4 linked regions of the Drosophila melanogaster genome follow. The protein of the gene in region 2 interacts with the protein of the main gene of each other region in a pairwise test. Each region holds a gene or a part of one and is shown on either strand. Other genes may lie near its edges. The genes, in order: fok, CG43338, CG13843 and mdlc.

What was found.
Region 1: the proteins of CG43338 (region 2) and fok interact in a two-hybrid assay, tested with the Drosophila melanogaster proteins (one large-scale study listed by BioGRID).
Region 3: the proteins of CG43338 (region 2) and CG13843 interact in a two-hybrid assay, tested with the Drosophila melanogaster proteins (one large-scale study listed by BioGRID).
Region 4: the proteins of CG43338 (region 2) and mdlc interact in a two-hybrid assay, tested with the Drosophila melanogaster proteins (one large-scale study listed by BioGRID).

What each region holds. Positions count from the first base shown.
Region 1 is NT_033779.5:20,080,955-20,086,787, forward strand, and holds fok (fledgling of Klp38B), read right to left. Parts: upstream 4,117-5,833; 5' UTR 3,781-4,116; coding exon 3,624-3,780; intron 2,062-3,623; coding exon 1,829-2,061; 3' UTR 652-1,828; downstream 1-651.
Region 2 is NT_033779.5:18,666,228-18,672,816, reverse strand, and holds CG43338 (uncharacterized protein), read left to right. Parts: upstream 1-1,570; 5' UTR 1,571-1,629; coding exon 1,630-1,785; intron 1,786-2,773; exon of another isoform or gene 2,774-2,850; coding exon of another isoform or gene 2,851-2,925; intron 2,926-3,253; coding exon 3,254-3,379; intron 3,380-3,451; coding exon 3,452-4,276; intron 4,277-4,337; coding exon 4,338-5,210; intron 5,211-5,268; exon of another isoform or gene 5,269-5,270; coding exon 5,271-5,852; 3' UTR 5,853-5,925; downstream 5,926-6,589. Other genes in the region: CG43339 (uncharacterized protein), read left to right, coding at 1-257, 317-477, 531-925, 1,027-1,035.
Region 3 is NT_033777.3:22,607,679-22,611,313, reverse strand, and holds CG13843 (uncharacterized protein), read right to left. Parts: upstream 1,830-3,635; 5' UTR 1,777-1,829; coding exon 1,208-1,776; intron 1,160-1,207; coding exon 640-1,159; 3' UTR 599-639; downstream 1-598. Other genes in the region: CG31156 (uncharacterized protein), read left to right, coding at 1-62, 115-304, 362-592, 1,833-1,965, 2,039-2,168, 2,231-2,454.
Region 4 is NT_033777.3:20,055,727-20,059,839, reverse strand, and holds mdlc (midlife crisis), read right to left. Parts: upstream 2,093-4,113; 5' UTR 1,987-2,092; coding exon 1,881-1,986; intron 1,823-1,880; coding exon 1,096-1,822; intron 1,029-1,095; coding exon 788-1,028; 3' UTR 549-787; downstream 1-548. Other genes in the region: CG4390 (uncharacterized protein), read left to right, coding at 145-273, 2,466-3,329.

The sequences.
Region 1 (5,833 bases), 1.4 Mb from region 2:
CCCATTGCACATATACCCTTTTGCACACTCATGAAAAAATATGCAAATGGAATGAATGGTTTTCGTGTGGGGGGATGCGCTCAGTTCTCAGTTTGATCAGTTGAATTTTTTTGATTCGCCTTTCATGATTAAGGCACGGATGATCTCATCTACCCGTGCCAAACGTTCGTTGCTCTAATTCAATTCGGCTTAGTTGACTGGGGTTTCATTTGGATCACTTGGGAGCTGGCATCCCTGGACATTCGCTTGCAAGGTGGGATAGTGCATGGTCAAGTTCCAGGTCGGTTTATTGGGGCTCGAGGTGCTTTCGCTTAGTTCCCAGTTTAGTGCCTAAAACCTGACCTTAGCCATCAAGTACTTACTTATCATATTTAACGTTTTCAAGCGGCGGAACATTTTGAGTTCAGACAGACAAAAGACAGATTAACTTCAATTAGTAAACTGGTGCGAGACGGAAAGATTTCCGTAAAGATTTGCATAAGAAATTAAGACTTTTATTTGGAAAATTTAAGTCCAAACTGACCCACCTCAACGTATGTAATTGGAACAGGTGTCTAACTTTTAGAAATCGTAGCAACTATGAATGATATCTCCTTTCTTTTAATCGTAATTTCCTCAAGTAACCCTCAAGATACAAGTACGCATTTTAACTTAAATTTTTCAATCATTTGTCGTTTTATTCGGTTTACATATAATTTAAACTAACCATTAATATATAATATATATGATATATAACATTGTATAAATTGAAAATTTTCTTGGAACCTGCAAGCAAATTTTACACAAATCATTACATTTTGATCAATTACTTAAATGACTAATGCAATTGTTAAATCGTTTTTATAATATTTCCGTCCGTCTTTTTGCACAGCTGAGTCTGAACACCAAAAATTAATAACAATTTCTGTTCTGTAACGACAAGTTGAGTTAACAAAATGTAACCAGGCATAAACTTTTGAACAATTTCAACTTTTACATACATATTTCGATTTGATTTCATTTTGACACTTGCTCGGACTGTGCAACGCTCAGTTGGTATTACAATAAATATAGGGGAATGTCTAATATAGACAAGGATACAATAAAAATCGGGGTCCAAAGTATGTACTACGCATATATCGAGAAAATAACAGTTGCAAAACCTTGATTGATCGTTATAGTTTTCATTATTTCTTTCTTATATGGTAATACCTGTAACTGATCCAATTGGGTCCAAACTAAAGCAACGAAAATAACAAAAATTTCGCTTAAAAATTTTCTACTGCAATTTACTCAGTCTCGTATGCAAAATAGAAAATTCAGTTTTTGCTTCCCTTGTGTTACATATATAATTTTTTTTTTTTTTTTTTGCCTAAGGTCAAAAAATGCGTTGGTCAAGCGGGGCAGGTTTTCGTTACTTGATTTTTTCGTCGTGCGCTATTGTTTGTCGGTAAACAAAGTGCCGTTTGTAGTTGTACATAACTGCGAAGTTGGTGTAAAAACGAAGGGCTAGATAATGAAAAAGGTAGTTGTAAATTGGTATCAAGTGGTTCTGGCTTTTGTAAATGGTAGTGTATTCGCAACGCGGAAATGCTGGGCAACCATTTTAAAAAAAATAGGGGTACAGTTGCCTTAGATTATTGTAGCTGCAGGCTGCTGTCTCGCTCTCTCGCGCAATCTTCGTCTTCGACAGCTTTTTCTCTTTTCTCCTCGGGTTTTCTTTGTTTTTGTTTTTGTTCTTACTCTTTCAGGTTTCCTTTCTTCTGGGTTAGGTTACACATCTGTATACATATATGGCATTTCGCGAATGCTGCGGGCACCGTCCGCAGTAGATTCGTCTCGCTCCCACTCACACCTTGCAGCTTTGCGGGGCGGCAAGGACGGTCGACTGGCTGTGATTGTGGGTGTGCTCCAGCTCATGCTCGTGCTCGTGCATGTCCTCCTCGTCCTCGCAGATGCTGTCATGGTGCTTCCTTTGCTCCCGCTTGCGCATGTAGTTGATGAGCGGCCGCTTCTTGTGCTCCTTGCAGAATGGGCAGTCCTTGCGCATCTGCTTCTCGGACTTTATCTGCTTGCACTTTTCTGCAATGGGAGCAATGTGATAGGTCACCGGTTAGTGAAGGTCGGCACTGAATGTTCACCCTCGTCTGTTGTTTCCCGCATTCGCTTCCACTCTGCCTTTTAGCCTACGTGCCCTTCTGGGCCGTCGAACAGCTGATTTGACTACGTGACGTCGCTGCGTCTACGTTCACGACGTCACGTCGCCACCGATGGCGCCCCTCCCCACGCTCGCACAATTTTTCCCGCTACTCGACGTGTGACCCTGTGACGGAGGCAGCTATATATTTAATATTATCATGCACTGGATTTTAGAAACCTATTTTAAAAAGTTGAATCTATCTAATCTTTGGTTTTAATGAAAACATTGTTGTCTTTCGACGACTGTAACACAACTACTACATTGAGCACAACTGTACTTACAGCTTGTGTGCTTTTGTGACCTGCCTCCGTTAATTAAACCATTGCTTTGATTGCTCAATTGACCGTGTTAAAAGCTAAACGGTTATTATTGATTAAAGCCCAGCCGATCCATGAGGAAAGTCTATTTATAGCCGCCGATAAGCGACCTTGCATAATCTCTAAATGTGTTCCACACTGGGGGAAAAAAGTGCTTTATAAACTGGATATTTACACACATATGCATGCTACCATTCAAATACGAATTGAGTTGTGTATGTACAGACATGTGAATCTAAAGTTTAAAGTAAGCTAGATATTTGCCTTGCATAATTTTTCACTTGTTTTTTTTTTATTTCTCTGCAACCCGATAATGCACTACGCGTATATGTATACTATATGGACGAAAACAGCACGAAGGTTTAACATTTACACACCTCAGTTTCGTTATTGCGCTTCAGTTTTGGCACTCAAACACAATGAAACCCTGCTTTGTTTGTTCTTCCCTATAAAAGAATCCATTGTGCGACCACCTGCTTAACTTTTGAGAGCCGATTCTGGAGGTACAGCCAAGTCTTAGTGCTTGCTTAGTTGTCTGTGTAATTAATAATCGTAAAGTATTCGAGTGCAGAGTGTGTCTTAATGGACTTGAGTAGTGACCTCGATAAGAGCGGGTTTAACCACCTCTGAAATTGCCACAAAAAGTATATCTTTGCCTTTTATGATTTTCCACGAGTGACAAAGTAACGATATACTCTTTTTGTATGCCCATCTGAATTGCGCTTTAACTTTGGAATGCCGGAAATTCGTAAGGAACCTTGTGGGCTTTTAGCCGCTTTGTGTGTGCAATTAAGCGCGAATATCTTTAGCACGTGGATTCAAGCCGTAAATAAAAACAAAATCGAGGGGGTGTGGAACCTACTTGATAAGGTGACTTGCGCCGCGAAACTTTGGACACCCTGTGCTTGTGCGCAAAAATTAAGGCGTGTTCTACACACACACACACGCACACACACACTTATGCACATGGGGCTAAGAAATCAGGCTGGCTATTTATAAATGGTTGCAAAAACAACAAAACAACACACGCAATACACAAAAACAAGTGAGAAACGCGTCTGCTTTCAATCTCGCCCCTTTTTTGCCAGTGCATTCTGAGCGCTATCTGTTTTTTCGCCAAAAATTACCTTGCACTCGACTGTAGCAGTCCTTGACCGCGTGTGAGGAAGTGGTGGACTCCAGGGTACCATAGGGGAACTCCTCGTAGTCGCGGTAGTAGCCGCTGCGCATGGACCCGCCATATGCCATTGTGGTGTCGCTGACGCAGAATCCCCAAACATCCATGTCTGTGCTGTGCGGTGTTTCGTTACTATTTTTGCGAACTGCAGTGCCAATCAACGGGATGTGAATTGTGTTTGTAATGTGGGTGTGTGTTTTTCTTTCTTTCTCTCTTTTTGCGCGCGTTGTGCGAGGTCGTTTCACTTTGTCTCTCGATTGGCTCGGGCGTCCAATGAACCTGGCTTTTAAAATCACTTTGTTTTGTTTTTTTAACAACGCTTTTTGGTGCACTTTTGCGTGGAGGTGACTCGCAGAGGTTTTCCTTCTTTCTTCTTCTTGAGCTGCAAATCTCTCGCCGAAATTCGATGTATTCTGTTGGAGGTCTCTCGTGAAACTGAAAGCCGAACACTAGAATTACTGCATTTTTGTAGCTCTCGTGCGCTGGCGATACTTCGGCTCTTGTTTTGCTGCCCACTTCGGGTCTCCCCTATATTTACTTCTCATGTGCCTACGTGTGAATGTGTGTGGACAGTCGCGGGAAAACGTTTAGGGCACGTGTATATGAATGAATGGACTTTAATTTGTTTTAAATATTCTTTAATGTCTGTAGTACTTGGAATAGGTGTATATACTATGCTGCCCGCACTTGTACTAAAATATTTGTGTGCCTGGTTGTAAACACGTATGTGTGGCATTGTGTTTTGTTGTGTTTTCGCGTCTCGTGCTTTTGTCAGAGTTTCACCTTCCACCCGACCCCTCCCCTTTCGAGTGCCACACACCTCTCGCTTGGGGCACATTGGTTCGCTACTCTCGAAATCACCTCTGCCGTGGAAGCAAGCATTTTCCAAGTGATTCACCCTGTGTTAGTTTGAAAATTTTTAATAAATATTAATTAGCCGGGGCATGAGGAATACTCTTGGAAGTTTTTCTTATTAGCGGCGAATCGCTAATGCCGCGGAGATGACGAAAAAGTAATCATGAGAGTGATCGGACGGATGTTCGACGGCTGATCATCTGGAGGATGGGATGGACATTTGTGTTTTTATAAGCTGCGCTAATCACGGTCTAGACTGCAGGCCGACCATGCCGTGATTTAGCCTTATTTCTGAAACCAAATTTGGTTGCCAAGCGGATTGAACACTTTTGAGAGCCCAAATTGGAGTGTTCTTTTTTTTTATAAACTTTCCATGGTCAAAATGGACTGTATTTCCAGCGTGTGGCATTCTAGGCGTGTAAACCACCAGCTGCACTTTTTCACTACTTTGCCTAGAGGTTTTTGAACATTTGAAAAATTTGTTTAAATCTAGTGTTAATTGGCAGTCTACGTCATTTTAGCCGGTTCCGATCAAGGTTTTGCTGTTTTGGCTCAAAAAGCATACCGCCTATATTAGCGCCTTCCTGCGGTTTATGTTTTGGTGCACGCTCATTTCAGTTACTTTTGAGGAGATCGTGACTGATTTCTAAAGGTGGGAGGACGTAGAGGGCTATATTTAGGAAAAAAGATTTTTTTTAATGTGGTACGCTTTGGTACGTGAATGACTAACAGAGAGTGTCGCCATTAATTGTATTAATTTGCGGTTAACGGACCACGGACCCAGATTCTGACCAGACGACACTGACGGGCCCCTAAGGTCACCTATGGTAGCTGTTTTTCAAGGCATATTTCTGCACTTGCGACCACTGTGCACGCCTACGCCGCTGCTGCTGCGCAGTTTGTGTAATCAACCATCCTCTTTTCGGTGCCCGCTCTTGTTTGGCCCACGGTGCTGACCTGCTTAATCAAACAAGTGTCACTTACGCACACTGCCAAGAATGTGTGCTAACTAGCTAATACGAAGCTTTATTTGAATACATACATATATACATACGTATGCATACACTACACTACAAAAAAAAAAAAACTATCAGATAAAAATGCAACGGATGGCCAATGCATTTGTAATTAGGTAAACAAATATCTTACTAAACGAATATGTAACCAACATTTTGAAAGCACTGCGATGCACCAATTAGTGAGTTTTATTTCTGAGCCTATTTCTTCCGTGTACTTGCATGTGGATGCATTTTGTTTGCACAACAACTTTTCGATTCCCGCACAGCGGTTGCTGATAACGACCAT
Region 2 (6,589 bases):
CTGTTTTCCAGTCCTTGGCCCGGAAAGATCGACGAGATTCCCTACAATCTGTTCAAGTGGTCGCTGGATCACTTCCTGGCACGACTGGAACATAACCAGTTGTACCTGGACGTGATCCATCGCGAACGGAGTTCCGAGGATCTCGACTGCGTAAAGTTCCGAACTGATCTGAAAGAGATCGAACAAATTCTACACGAAATGCGAGAGGACTTTCAAAAGGATGACGACCTTTGCGAAAATAGCATACAACTAATACGGTATTGGCCCCATTTCCATCAAGAAGAACATTCTATATTGGAAACACTTATATTCTTAGAGATTGCAAGTACAACACGGTTGGTGCTTGGATTAAGGACCTCAAGGACAATTGCCGGATCAAGGAGGGAATGAGCAACAGTAGCCTGGCAGTGGAATCCAGCGTATCCAGTCTGGATATCAATCGAACTGCACTCGTAGACCTCTTCGAGGGCAGTAGTTGTGAGTTGTAAAATATTACAAAAATTTAATGTATCTTTTGTACATTTTCATAGTGACTGATCCGATACAGATGCGTTACCATATCAAGTGGGTAAACAGCTGTATGGATCAGAGACTAATGCTTAACTGTAAGCGCGAGGATCTGCTGAGGAAGGAGTTAATGGAACTGAAAACCAAGCTGGAACAGGACATGACGGTGCAGCGCAGCTCGGAGATGATATACTCCTGGGAAGTGGAAAAGCTTAAGACACGCAATAGGGAGTGGGAGGTCAAGCTGGAGCGGGATCTGGAAAGCGCCGAGGTGCAGTGCACGATCGCCAGGCTCGCACTGCAGAAGGTCAAGGACGATCACAAGCTCTGCTTGGAACAGGAGGAAATGTACCTTCGAAAAATAGCCGAGATCAAAAAGTTGATGGAAACGCAAACTAAAGCTCGTCAACAAAAACAGGTGGGCTATATAGATATTTCCCTTTACAAGCCTTTACAAATTAGTTAATCTTAAAGATGATATGTAATTGAAAATTAATATAAATTGTTTAATTTCGCTAGGCAAAATAAGCAACGGAAGTGAAATCACCATGTATAAGCGCCAGGAATCCAAAATGAAGCAGGCGAAATGCTGGAGCTCATCAAAATTCGACAACTATTATTTATGTTGGCAACCCAAACAAAATAATCAAAATCCCGAAATGCATGAACTTAACCCCAAAGGGTTGTTGCCTTCAAAGTCACTGTCAAAGGATCAGGCCATTAAGGGGGTTATTCCATCGGACGGGGAGTGGGCGCCAAGTTAGGGCAAACATTTACCATATTCATTATTTTTGGCGGAGACAAATGAAATTACAGGCAAACGGCTGCGGGGTAACTGCCCCTCCTACCACTCTACGGCTATTGCAGTTTAGAAAATCGAATTATGTGCACTTTAGTCACCGTAGTTACCCACCAGGAACCACACCCTCACCATCTAGTGTAGTATCGCCTCATGCATAGTTATTTTATGCGCCGTGGCAACCTGAAAGTTGCCGCATAACTTTGCCTCTTCTTGTTGCCTGGTCGGGTCGGGTGTATTATTTACGCTTAGAAAACATAGAGTAGAATTTTTCCAACGCCAGTCGGAGGCGGATCGAGTTCATCCGGATAAAATCCATTGGAATGCCACTTAATCCGCGACCCACGACCAATGGCAACACACCCGAGGACTGGCAGGTGTTCGAGGTCTTGTTCGGTGCTGATCAGGACCCGAAAACGATTCCCGCACGGATGACCACAATGTCACCTTTGCCACAACCAGCCATTCCATTTTGCCAGGTGAGTAGTTTTTGTCGCTTAACTATTTTGCCAAAATCGTGCGCCAAATTGCCATAAAAGCGTGTAGACATCATATCAAGATAGATTTATGTGAATTCGCAATTGAATAACGACTTTTGTTCGCTATTTTTTATGTTTCAAATGTATGCGGTTGTTAGGGGAACTAATGATGTTTGTGGGGGGATTTGCATAAAACTCGATTGGTCTGGGGGATACAGTGGTTCGTATTGCCATGTGGGTGGGGCTGCATAATCAAAATATACATATGAATGATTGTAAAGCTATTCATAAACACACAATAGGATAAAATGGAGCCATTGCATCTAATTTACTGAATTGAGGACTTGTGAAAGCCTAAGGAGCAAGCCCAAAATCAAGTTCAATGAAATATCTTTTAAATGTTTGAAACATTTCCCATTTCGCCCATTTCAATTTCATTAAAGAGGCAACCTGAATTGGCTTCATAATTAACCCGGCCAAGCTTATCGAATGTTCAACACATTTCAGTTCCCAATTGTCTTGCCGTTGCTCCTTCCTAAATTGCAGACAATTGGCCAAAAGTTGCACACCTCATTTTCCGTTTCCGGCCAAGTTGAAAATTTCCATCGTATATCCATCCACCTAGCCCCGGAGCACCCAAAACCCCAAACCCTGTGGCGTCCGCACTTGCGTGCGTGAGTCCGTTGTGGATATTGCATTTGATACTTCGCCACTTGGCGCCATGTGAATGACCCAAATAATCCAAACAAACTGCAAAGTTTCCCCCATGTGTAAGTGTAATCGTGGCTACACCTTTCGAGCTCCACACGGCTGCCCCCCTATCCAAAGCCCCTTGCTCCTGCCATTGAGCTCGTTTTCACTTGGAGCATAAATTTGAGCACTGTGTGATGTTATGTTGGGGTAAATTCCTCGGTGCCATGCATCGGACTCCCCTCAGTTGTTAGGTGGAGGTTGTTAGGCTTCCGAAAGTGGTTATTCCCGAACCAAAGTTCAGTTCTTCGACGGCTTTTACTGGGAACAGTTGACTTGGTTCTTGGAGTGCTTTAAATATTCGTGGCTCTAAATATGCCCAGTGAAAATCATCTGCATCACCATCACTTGGGACACACTGGTGGATTATCTCCGCATCATCATCACTTGGTGGGCATTGGGACAATGTTAATGCCATCACAGTTAAAAATTACATATTATAATTAAAAGTACAATTAAAATTTACAAAAAATAATGAAAGTCTGAATGGTTCAAAACCATTTTATCTTAAATTGTATAAATATAACTTTAATAACAGGAAAATGTGAAAATGGTACATTTATTTAATAGAGCCAATATATTCAAGAATGTAGAAAGTATACATTTTTTGAAAATGTTTTCTAAACTAGGAAATTAGATAAATTTATATGTAATTAATTAATAACTCCGCAAATCAAAACCTTTTGTGTGTTCTCCAAATTTAAATGCGATTATCCAGCTGGACACATCCTGCAGCAATACGGGAATCACTGTGACAGAACATCATCATGGTCTCGACTTGACCACCACACTGCGCAGTGAACTGGCTGCGTTGTCCTACAAAAAGGAGCGACTTACGGGGGAGGTAAATAAAAGAATCAATTTATTATAGAATCAAGTAATGCAAAGGATATACATATACTTACACTTATCCTAGCTTGCTGAAGCGCGTGCAGCATTGTGCAGCAAAGATGCGGATATCGAGAATCTGCGAGCCCAGGCTGCTCGGCAGACTGCCCTCATCGGATCCCTCCAGAGTCGTCTGCAAAACTCGGAGAGCAGGGAGCAGGCTGTCCAGGCCCGATGTGATTCCACCATTCAGACGGTGCAGCGGGAGAAGCGTAGCTCCGACGAGCGCAACAAAGAGCTAATCTGCAAGATACAGCATCTGGAAACGCATATGGCCAGTGAGGAATCGCAAAAGGAGCAGATCAAGGCTCAGCTGCACGATCTCCTGCGACGCCTTAGCATCACTTTGGGAATGGATGTGTGCGATGGCAATCAGAATTCCCATGCCACACCCGAGTGCATCATCTCGCGGGCCGAGGAGGTGATGGTGGAGCTGCAAAGGACGAAAGCCAAGGTCAGTTCCACCTGCGACACGCTCAGCTCCTGCGAAAATGAACTGCTCAACTTGAAGTCGCTGGCCAACATTGAGAAGCAGCGGCTCACGGCCCAACTTGATGGAGCTGGCAATCACAACCACGAGTTGGAAGGACGCTGTCGCCAATACGAAAGGGATCTTCAGATCCAAAGAGATCGCTTGACTGAATCGGAAATCAACGGCGAGAAGCTCAAGGAAGAGCTGCGCGGCTTTGAGTCGCGATGCCATCGTTTGCAAAACAACCTGGACCGGACTCAGGGCGATCGTCTGCAGTTCTTGCGGGGATTGAGCAATCTCTTGAATGTTCCCGAACCGTGCGAAACGCTCATCAAGGACAAGCTGAGAGAGATTCTGGCGGAGAACCAGGCCATGCATGCGGTAATCGAACTTATTAATTCATAATTCATTTAAACAATAAACCAATTTGTATACCCTCTAGCAAATGCACTCTCTGCGAGATCAGCTGAACTCGGAGCATGAGAAGCTTAAGGAAACCCAACAGACCACCGAATGTCGCCTCCGTTCTGGCGAGGCTCAGAAATGTGAGCTAACTGAGCGCTTGGAGAAGTGCCATGCCGAGATCCATACTCTTCGAAAGGATCACATGGGTCTATCGGAGTTCCTGCAGCGACTGGCCCTCGCGATGAACTGGGGTGAGTGCTCTGCCCCTCCGGCTCTTGGAACTGATACCAATCTAATGGCGGAGAACTTGCTTGAGAGAGCCGAGAGACTCGCCGCTCACTGCGACCACGAGGCACCTCATCATCATCATCATCATCACAGTCCGGATAAGGGTTGCTGTGATCACGGACATGGTCATGGGAAACTTCGCCGCGAGAGATCCTGTCATGACATTCCCCTCAAGGAAAGCAGCAGTGTCTACAACCTGCAGCGACGTGTTCGAGTTCTCAGGGAGCAAGTGCAGCGACGGGATCTCCACCTGGAGCTACTGCGTCGCAAGCTGGCCATCATAGAGGACGGTGCGCGAGGAAAGTGCATGTTGCAGGGTGAACGGGATGAGGCGGTTTGCCGGGCCAAGAAGGCGGCCAAGCAGGTGGACAAGTTGAGTGCCCAGCTGGCCGATGCCCGATCTCAGATAGCAGAGGTCAAGGCCCAGCTAGCCGAGGCTGTGGAGTATAAGATCACCTCGTTGGAGAGGGCCAGAAAGATCGATGAGCTGACCACACAGATATGCGATCTGGAGGATGAGAAGACGCGCCTGCTCTCCCAACTTAATGCCCTGAAGGAGCGCCTCAAGTCCTCCTGTGAATCCAATCAGAATCGCAGATGCCGCGATGAGGCGCTAATAAATGTAAATAAAAGTATAGTTTATGTAAAAATTCACATACTAAATCTTTCTTGAAATTTTTAGTCTATGCGCGATGATGTCAGTCGCTTGAGCTCCCAACTCTCGGATGCCAATCAGCGGCTTTCGCATTTGCAATCCTTCCGCACATCGGTGGCCAGGACACTGCATCTTCGCGACCTGCCGGAAACGGATCTTCTGCATCGCCTGCAGGCCCTGTGCTCGGCACATCAGGAGTTCACAATGCTTTCGAAACGCTATGAGACAGCTTCGCCAGTTGGAGATCATCCGTGTCCTCGGTTCGATGATCCCATACCGCCATCCAGCCACTGTCGCCCGCCAAGGGAGCTCAGTCCTCCGCCAACTTCCTTCCACCATAAGGCGACCATCCATTCAGGCAGCAGCCATCACTCACCACCGTCTGAGCATCATCATGGTTCCAGCAGCCATGTGCACAATCACCACGGACATGGACACGGACACGGTCACTCATCGCATTCCAGGCGGCAGCGAAGTAAAAGCCGGGACAAACGACTCCACGATGAGTGCTTCGACACGGATGTGCATCGACTGCACCATGGCTGCAAGGAGGAGCTACTGGCCACCGGATCGGAGGATGACTATGACTTCAAGAGCAAATACTGCTAGAGTACTAAACTTTTTCTTTGCATTTGTATTTTTTCAAAATAACTCAGAATAATATATGGTTTCTACATTTCGGAAAATCTAAGTTTTTTGTGGCAGATTGATTATTCTGGTTGATCATCACGTATTTCGGGAGGATAAGGATAAGAAGGAAAGGACTGGTCTTCATCGCAGTCCCTACTGGTGGCACAAGTCCAACAGCATTCCGGAAATTTTAGCAACAAGTCCATGGCCTTATCGTCCTGGCAGCCACTGCTCGGCAAAGTGCGAGGACAGCTGGAAAATAGCTTGGATATCATATGCATTAGGGTATATCATTTCAAATTGGATCGATCTTACTAGTAGACATGAGTAAGTCCTTCGGAGTTCATGCAAACCTGCACGCCGCAAGTGTTTGGATCACTGACTTCCTCGCCGGGTTGTAGGGCAAAAACATCGTATTGCTTCTTTTTACCCACTCGAACATGGATGGGGTAACACTGGCCGGGGTACTCTACCAAAGCGTTTTAATGAGACTTTATTATTCTTACATATAAAGTTTTCTCAACGCATTACTCTCATTGTGCAGTATCTTCACAAAAACCATGGACTTCACAGATGCCACTAAAATTACAGCTACAATACAGAAAAATATGAACTTCATTCTAACGCAATATAAGGCAAACTGGTGGAAGTTCCATTAAAGTATCTGAGAAAAAACTCGTATTTGAAATTGATACTTATTGTAAATAATAGTGCCT
Region 3 (3,635 bases), on a different chromosome or scaffold from region 2:
CTCCTGCAGCAATGTGGCCGCCAAGGAGTTTCCCAAAATGGATACAAACGAAAGGAGCGCAGGTTTGGACGAAGATCAAATTAAAAGCAACACAAACAAACATATTTTGTATAGTGTCCATAGCGCGTCGTTTGAATGATCCATTGAGTGAATATGTTAAAATAGAGCCCCGTCACCTGGGGGTTGGTATGTACCAGCACGATGTTCCCGAGAAGATTTTGACGGCATCGCTGAATGACGTTGTGTCCGAGTGTGTCAGTTATGTTGGCGTTGATCTCAACACAGCCAGTCTGAGTGTACTCAAGTATGTGTGATTAAGGGTCAAATAAGTTATATATTTTTAATATTCTCCACCATATAGGCACATTGCTGGTCTGTCGGAAAAGAAAGCGGAAAAGATCATTGAGCATCGTACGCAGAAAGGACCATTCAAGACACGGAAGGATCTGCTCTCCGTGCGAAGCATAGGTGAGAAATCGTTTGTCCAGTGCGCCGGTTTTGTGCGCATCGAACCCCGAAGCGTTGGAGGACAACTACAGAATCCATTAGATTGCACTTGGGTGCATCCTGAGAGCTACAACGTTGTGGAAAGGTAAGTCCAATATTCAATTGACTTCATTAACCAATAATAATGAGACTTTATTCCGCCTGATTCATCGCAAGCCTGGCCTTTTCATCCGCTGCCCTCACTAACAAGGAGGTGTCACTAGGTGTCACAATGTCACTTTCGTGTTGCGTGATGCCAGCTATGTTCTTTGGACAATCGTCGTCAAAATTCTTAAGATTTGTAACATCCTCGCTAGATTCCATTTGACACCAGCACGGAAGGTACGGCTTCAAGGGATCCTTCTTGTCGCAACGCTTGCAGGTGCAGTTCTCCATGCCGGCACTCATAAAAGTCCGGAAGTCCGTCTCCTGACTCAAAAGCCCCAGATAGTCCTCTATAGAGTGCTCTTTCATAGGGTCCATCAGCTCCGCCCACGTCTTTAGCTTCACGATCACGCCAAAGAAATACGTGTTTAAGTCCTCGATTATTTGCAGCACCGAATCTAGCTCTTTCAAGAATGTACTTCCTAAAGACCGGTCCAACCTGGCTACGCGTTGATCTAGCTCCTTTTTCGACTCACTCATGTCCAGGTATAAATTGCTCAAATCGGTGCTAAAAAGTTTTAAATTAGCAGTGGCTGTGTATTTTTAATAGACTTACTTTGACTGATTGACGATATTGTAGGCTCTCTGAAACTCGCAAAGGGCCCGCTCTTCGGTCATCCGGCTTATGTACTCGGGATAGGTCTTAGTGCATCCGGTCGAGCTGGCTAAAATGCGATAACGCACTCCATGGTAACGCATCTCCTTAACCCTCTCAATCTGAAATGGTTTGGCCTGCTCCAGCTCATTCTTCAGGGCCTTCATTTTCTGGTCAACTACTAGAGTTTGCTCGTGCACACACTGCTCAAGCTTAAAATCGTAGCGGGAGTAGATATTCTCACAATGCTTGAAGGTTGGCTTCAGCAAATGGATGGGAATGGTCGATCCCCGGCACGGTGGCGGAAGCGGACGACGCTTGTACCGCTCCGGCGGATACTCCCAGCAAACTCCAAAGCGGGTTTGATCCTGCACATTGAGCGGATGCTGCCAGCAGGGCTTGTATTTCGGCTTATCGTTGTGGCCGTAGAATGCTACCTTTCCACATGCAACATATCGAAGCTTGGCTGGCGGCACAATTGGAGGATAATGCCAGCGCTCCGCATATTCCTGCTTTAGCTTGGCAATCATTATAATGGAAAATTTGAAAACTTAACTCTAAAACCAAATACTTTTTGTGCTTTCAGTATTGTCGGAGAATGTGACTTAAAGCTGTCGGATGTGGGCAAGGCTGCCTTTATAGCTAGCATCAAGCAGTTTGCCTCATCCCAGCCTAATCTCGATCGCATTGCCAAGCAGCACAAGCTGCCCATGGAGCGAGTAAGTGCCACTCAATCTATACTAAACAGGCCTATTGCAATGTTCAAATAATTTAAAATAAATTTCCTTTCAGTTGGAGTTCCTGTTGGTTGCCCTGCAGCGCGAATTACTTCAGGATTATCGAGCAGATCTGGACAAGAGGCCACTGTTCAAACAAGGTCTAACTAGGCTGGATGATCTTAGCATGGGCGAGGTGGTCACTGGCAAGTGGAGACTATGATAGTCATTTCATATATGTACTTATTGAAACTATTCCGACACACAGGTGCCGTGACCAACGTAACCCAGTTTGGCGCCTTCGTGGACGTTGGAGTGGAGCGCAATGGCCTCATACACAACAGTAACATGAATAATTCGCAGCTGAGCGTTGGCGATCGCATTGTGGCATCGGTGGTAAAGGTGGATCTGAAGCGACGCCAGTTGGAATTACGTTTGGAAAATATGCTGATGGAGACGGATACCTCGTTTAAGTTCAAGGCGGAGGATTAGACAAACTGCAGGGATTTAATGCTTTCGGAAGTATTTAATGATTCATATCGTAATTGTTTGGTTGCTCACACGAGCATTCATATATACTATATATAGTTCATATATATATTTATATATATGTGTATATGCATAGTATAACGGCTTTCCTAAGTTTAATCAAAGCTTATCAGTTAGTAATAAATGTTCACATAAAAATCACCGTCTCCACGTTCGTCTTCTTGTTTCCCTTCTCGCCACAAGTTGGCAAGTTGTCTTAAATGAATTGTTATCGAAAGGGTATTGCTTTAGAAACTAAGTGATGCCCTCTTAAGCCAGTTAAAATAAATATACAATATGCATACATTTAGGCGCTTGGTTTGCAGCAGGCAAGTTGCTTTCACTTTTAGTTAGTTTGTATTTTCGAATTTATTGCCGTTTCAGTAGAATTGTTAAAAATTATTATAAACAATGTTATATAGTCTGCATTTACATAATTACACAATACCATAATCATAATATATTCAAAAATATATGATGCATTTAATTTTATTTTTTCCTCCATCTCTCTTTACCCCGTAATGGATATTTAATTTCATATTCTAGCTACATGGACATGTCGCGTAATCAACCGATAGTTGTTTAAATAAATATATTAATCCGTACATAATATTGGAGTAACTGTTCCTACACAGTTAAATGTGATAATGTATCGCAAAAGACCAAAAACAAGTTGTACACGGTATGGTAGTAATTGCTTAAGCTTAATGCTAATGCGCTTGTCCTCTTCTCAATTCTCATTTCGTTATTGTTACTGCCGATGTTCTCCATCTTGTGGTTGTGTAGAGATATTGTTCATTAATTAATAATTTATTTTTATCATTTATAATGATAGCATAGGTAATGATGTAAGTATTGTTTATCAACTCTTGTAATAATAAGTCTATGTGTATAAGCAGTTTTCATTCTCGTTCCTAAACAGCCGTCCAGCAGAATCTTTGGCGGAGCAAATATGAACGATAATTCAAATTCGAATCGATCTGACTGTGTAGCTTTAAATCAGGTGAAACCGATCTCGAATACCCTCATTCTGGATAAGTAGCATGGTAAATATAAAATCAACTGCACGAATTCGAGATAATCCTCTGGTTGCCGAGATTATGCCGATGTCTTCTGATGAACGACCTTTAAACGTAAAATTCTCC
Region 4 (4,113 bases), on a different chromosome or scaffold from region 2:
ATTGGGCCAAAATTTTGCCGCTTCAAGAAGGCAGTAGTTTCAGTTGCTTGCCAAGTTTAAATTTGGTCAAAGTTGGCCTTTGATCGTTTCAAACGTCAAGCAATACTCGATCGAAATCACAAAGTTATTGCAGCTCCCTTGGGAATGGGAAGAAATTTCCTTCGTCTGCCCAGTGTGAGTGGTAGAAGCTCATTCGTATATTCCATAGTCGCCTGTTCAAATCTTCCCAAGCGACGGAGCATTGTGCTCAGTTTTGGCCACATTATGACCGAGGTGAGTAAGGCTTTTAGGTCCTGCGGACTAAACATTAATATAAAATCCTCGTTGTGATTAATTTTATAAAATGCTTTTCACGATTAACTTTCCAGTCCCGTCCCTATGTATCAAATTTTAGTATGAATTATAAATAATAATGAATACATACATATATACGTGTTAAAACAACTTACAGATGAACTGCTGTGCATAATTTGTATGTTAACCAATCGTAATAGATCGCCCAAAAATAAGTAAAAATTTTAATAAATACCACAGAACTAGTATTTCTTGGTTGAAAACTTATCAAAATATATTTTTCTAGTTACAAGTAAGAATAGTGATTTATCAGCAATTCTCTTTGGGGCAAAGGGTTTTACAATTTCTTACACGCCACCTATCGGTGGTACAATCCTTACTTTACTTTCTACACTTATGCGGCAAATGTGCTGTAAAATGGATTTTATGTGAAGCATCTAATCAATGTCCCTATTTACTTTCACAACCTGTATAAATGATTTAAAAAAATATTTTAATCACTATCATCCGAAGAAATCTCCTGAGCTTCCTCCCCTGCTTCCGCTTTATCCTCCTTTTTCCCAAATTCCTCCTCCTCATCACTATCTGAGTTTTCCATTGGGTTTGTCTTGAGGCGAGCTATCAGCTCTTTGGCGGGATTGAAAATACCATTTGTTTGCTGGGAACAGATGATGCAGCGCTGTGACTTTTTGTACTGGGCCAAGGCGCACTTTTCACAGAAATAGTGCTTGCACCTGGAAGAAAGATAAATATGTTATTTATTCAGTAAATCCAGTTTAGAAATCGTTATCATCTTCATACTTTGTTACCACGGGATTGACAAAACTCTGTCGGCAGATGTGGCACTTGAAAGGCAGTGTTTCTTCATCGGAGTGAATCTCATACTTGGTATCATCGCCATCGGAGTCTACATCACCCGTTCGCTGATTTTCGTGATCCATTTCCAATTGCCAGCCCGCTTTGTAATCACTGCGATCGTGCAGAAACTTACAGCTGTCGCCAAAGCCGCAATATCCTGTTTCCTTGTAATCCTTGCATATATCCGGCTGATAATCCCACCTGACAGTGGCCCTAAGATGGGCAGGAGCCCTAATTGGGCCACTTCGTACCATTCCGGAGCTGGCATTCCCTGCCGCTGTATCCTGCTTCTTGTAGTACTGCGCATAGTTGTTAATTCCGCGATAGATCTTATCGTCCGCCTTGCCCTCCAGCTCTTCGTTGATTTTCAGAGCTCGCGCATGAATTGCCTGCGCATCGCGATCCAATTCTGTGTCCATTTCGTTAATCGATGTAGCTCCCTGATCTTGGGGTCCACTGGGCAGCGCCTCGCGTTTGGATTTGTACGCAATGCCCAGTTTATCATCGTCGGAGGCTGAGGATGAGCCATCATCACCAACTCCTCCCGCCTGTCTCTTTGCTTTGCTCATTGTCTTGGTGCTCTGGAAGTTGGGATTCGTGCGCTTTCGGCGGTTCTCGGCTCGCACCAGAGCACTGGCTTTGCCTTTGGTCTCTTCATCGCTGCTTTTTGCTGGAATATCAATAATATTTGCCCATTTACTTTGTTGGCGGTAAAATTAAGTTCCTACCAGATTCATCACTGCTGGTTTCCTTTTTGCGACGAATTCCAGCTCCCTTCTTGAGGTTCCGCTTCTTGAAGCCAAAGGACGAGGTGCTAGCCGCTTCTTCCGACATTCTCCGGCTTTTAAATTTATGTACTTATCTAGTAATTCACGTTAACAACAATTAACAATAGCAATTTCGCCAACTGGCGCTTCTTCTTCCCGGCTAGTGATGGTACTTGCGTAACAATCGTTATGGAGTTAGTATTTTTGTATGAAACGGGCACATTAAAATTCAATGTTTACTTATGAGGAATATATTCGTTTGTAATAATTGCAATTTTTACATATTTAATACATCATCAATATGTAATAATTAATAGATTTATATTAATTTAAAGAATTCTAGAAAATATTAACTCCTATGGGATCTACCCTTTTAATCATCGATACCAAGATGTTCTGAAAGCTTCCCACTTTTGGCGCTCTACACGCGGTCACACTGTTTTCTTATCGCTTGTTATTTTTAGATCGTCAAAAAACAAGTGCGTTTTTAAAAATTAATGGATTTCAGTTTTAGCTTACAAATTATTTACTCCGTTTCACCCCCAGAACATGACGCTCGAACAGCTGTCCGCAAATAAGTGCTTCGAGGGCGAGCAACGCGTGTATCGCCATCGCTCGGACACCTTGAAGTGCGACATGACCTTTGGCGTCTTCCTGCCGCCGGCCGCTTTGGAGGGTAAACCGTGTCCGGTGCTGTTCTTCCTCAGCGGACTGACCTGCACGCATGAGAACTTCATCCAGAAGAGCGGATTCCAGCAGCACGCCGCCCGCCACAACCTGATCGTCGTCAATCCGGACACTTCGCCCAGGGGCGTGGAAATTGCCGGCCAAGATGATGCATACGACTTTGGAAGCGGGGCTGGATTCTATGTGGATGCAAAGGAGGAGCCGTGGTCGAAGCACTACAAGATGTACAGCTATGTGACCCAGGAGCTGGTGGATGTGGTCAATGCCAATCTGCCCGTGGTTCCCGGTAAACGCGGTATATTCGGCCACAGTATGGGCGGCCACGGAGCCCTGATCTGCGCGCTTAAGAATCCCGGGCTGTACCAGTCGGTGTCCGCTTTTGCGCCGATTGCCAATCCCACCGAGTGCCCGTGGGGCAAGAAGGCCTTTGCCGGCTATCTGGGCTCCAATCCGGATGACTGGGCCCTGTGGGATGCCACGCATCTGGTGTCGCAGTACGAGAGCACTCCGCAGGAGCTCTTCATCGACCAAGGTGCAGCAGACAACTTCCTGGCCGGCAAGCAGCTGCTGCCGGAGAACCTGCTGGCTGCCGCAGATGGCAATGATCACATCCAGACCATCTTCAAGCAGCGCGAGGGATACGATCACAGCTACTTCTACATCGCCACGTTCGTCGCCGAACACATCGCCTACCATGCCGCCCTGCTCACAGCTTCCGCTTGATGATATTCCGCTTGTACATAATCGTTGGTTTCCACCGAAACCATAATTCAACGTAAATTTGGCAGTAAATAAACCAATTTCGACTGAGCTTCTAAAATGTATTCTTACATTCTTGACTTTAAACTTTGAACTTGGACTTTGAAAAACAAATATTTTTATTCATTCTAGGTGCCAATGTACAGAAGATTATACACAAATGGCGTGTACTTTGTTATTTCGGTTTTAAGTTCAGCAATTTCCTTTCACAAACAAAAACTTAAGTAATGGGTATTCAGCATTCGTCGAATTCCTAAGGACTTTTTCCCGGACTTGTGGTAAGGGTAAAAGCTCGCAACGTAGTAAAAGCTTTCCGGTTGTTGGTCCACGGCATGCTGGAAACTTTCCGCATCCTGGCATCCTGCGTACGATTCATTCATCAGTAGAAAAAACGCCGTCTGATGGAATAGATGTGCTAGTGACAGAGGGAACCGAACCGAACGGAGGTACCAAAAGGCGACATTCTCGACTCGTTTGGCGCCATATTTACTAGGACCAATCGGAGTCGCCAGCTCTGTATTTGCGTGACTGCGTGTGTGCGCGAGATAGTCCTGTTTTTTGGACCCCCCTTTGTTTGTGTAACTTCGCGCGCTTTTGTGTTTTATATACCAACGGGTCGGAAAATCGGGTACCAAAAAAAGGGATTTGAAAAGGCGTGAGATTTGCGGCCAGCTGCTGGACGACTGCCAGCGGACTGAAATCTTAATTAGCCATTTAATGGCAGTTGGCACACAACAAAGCCCCATGG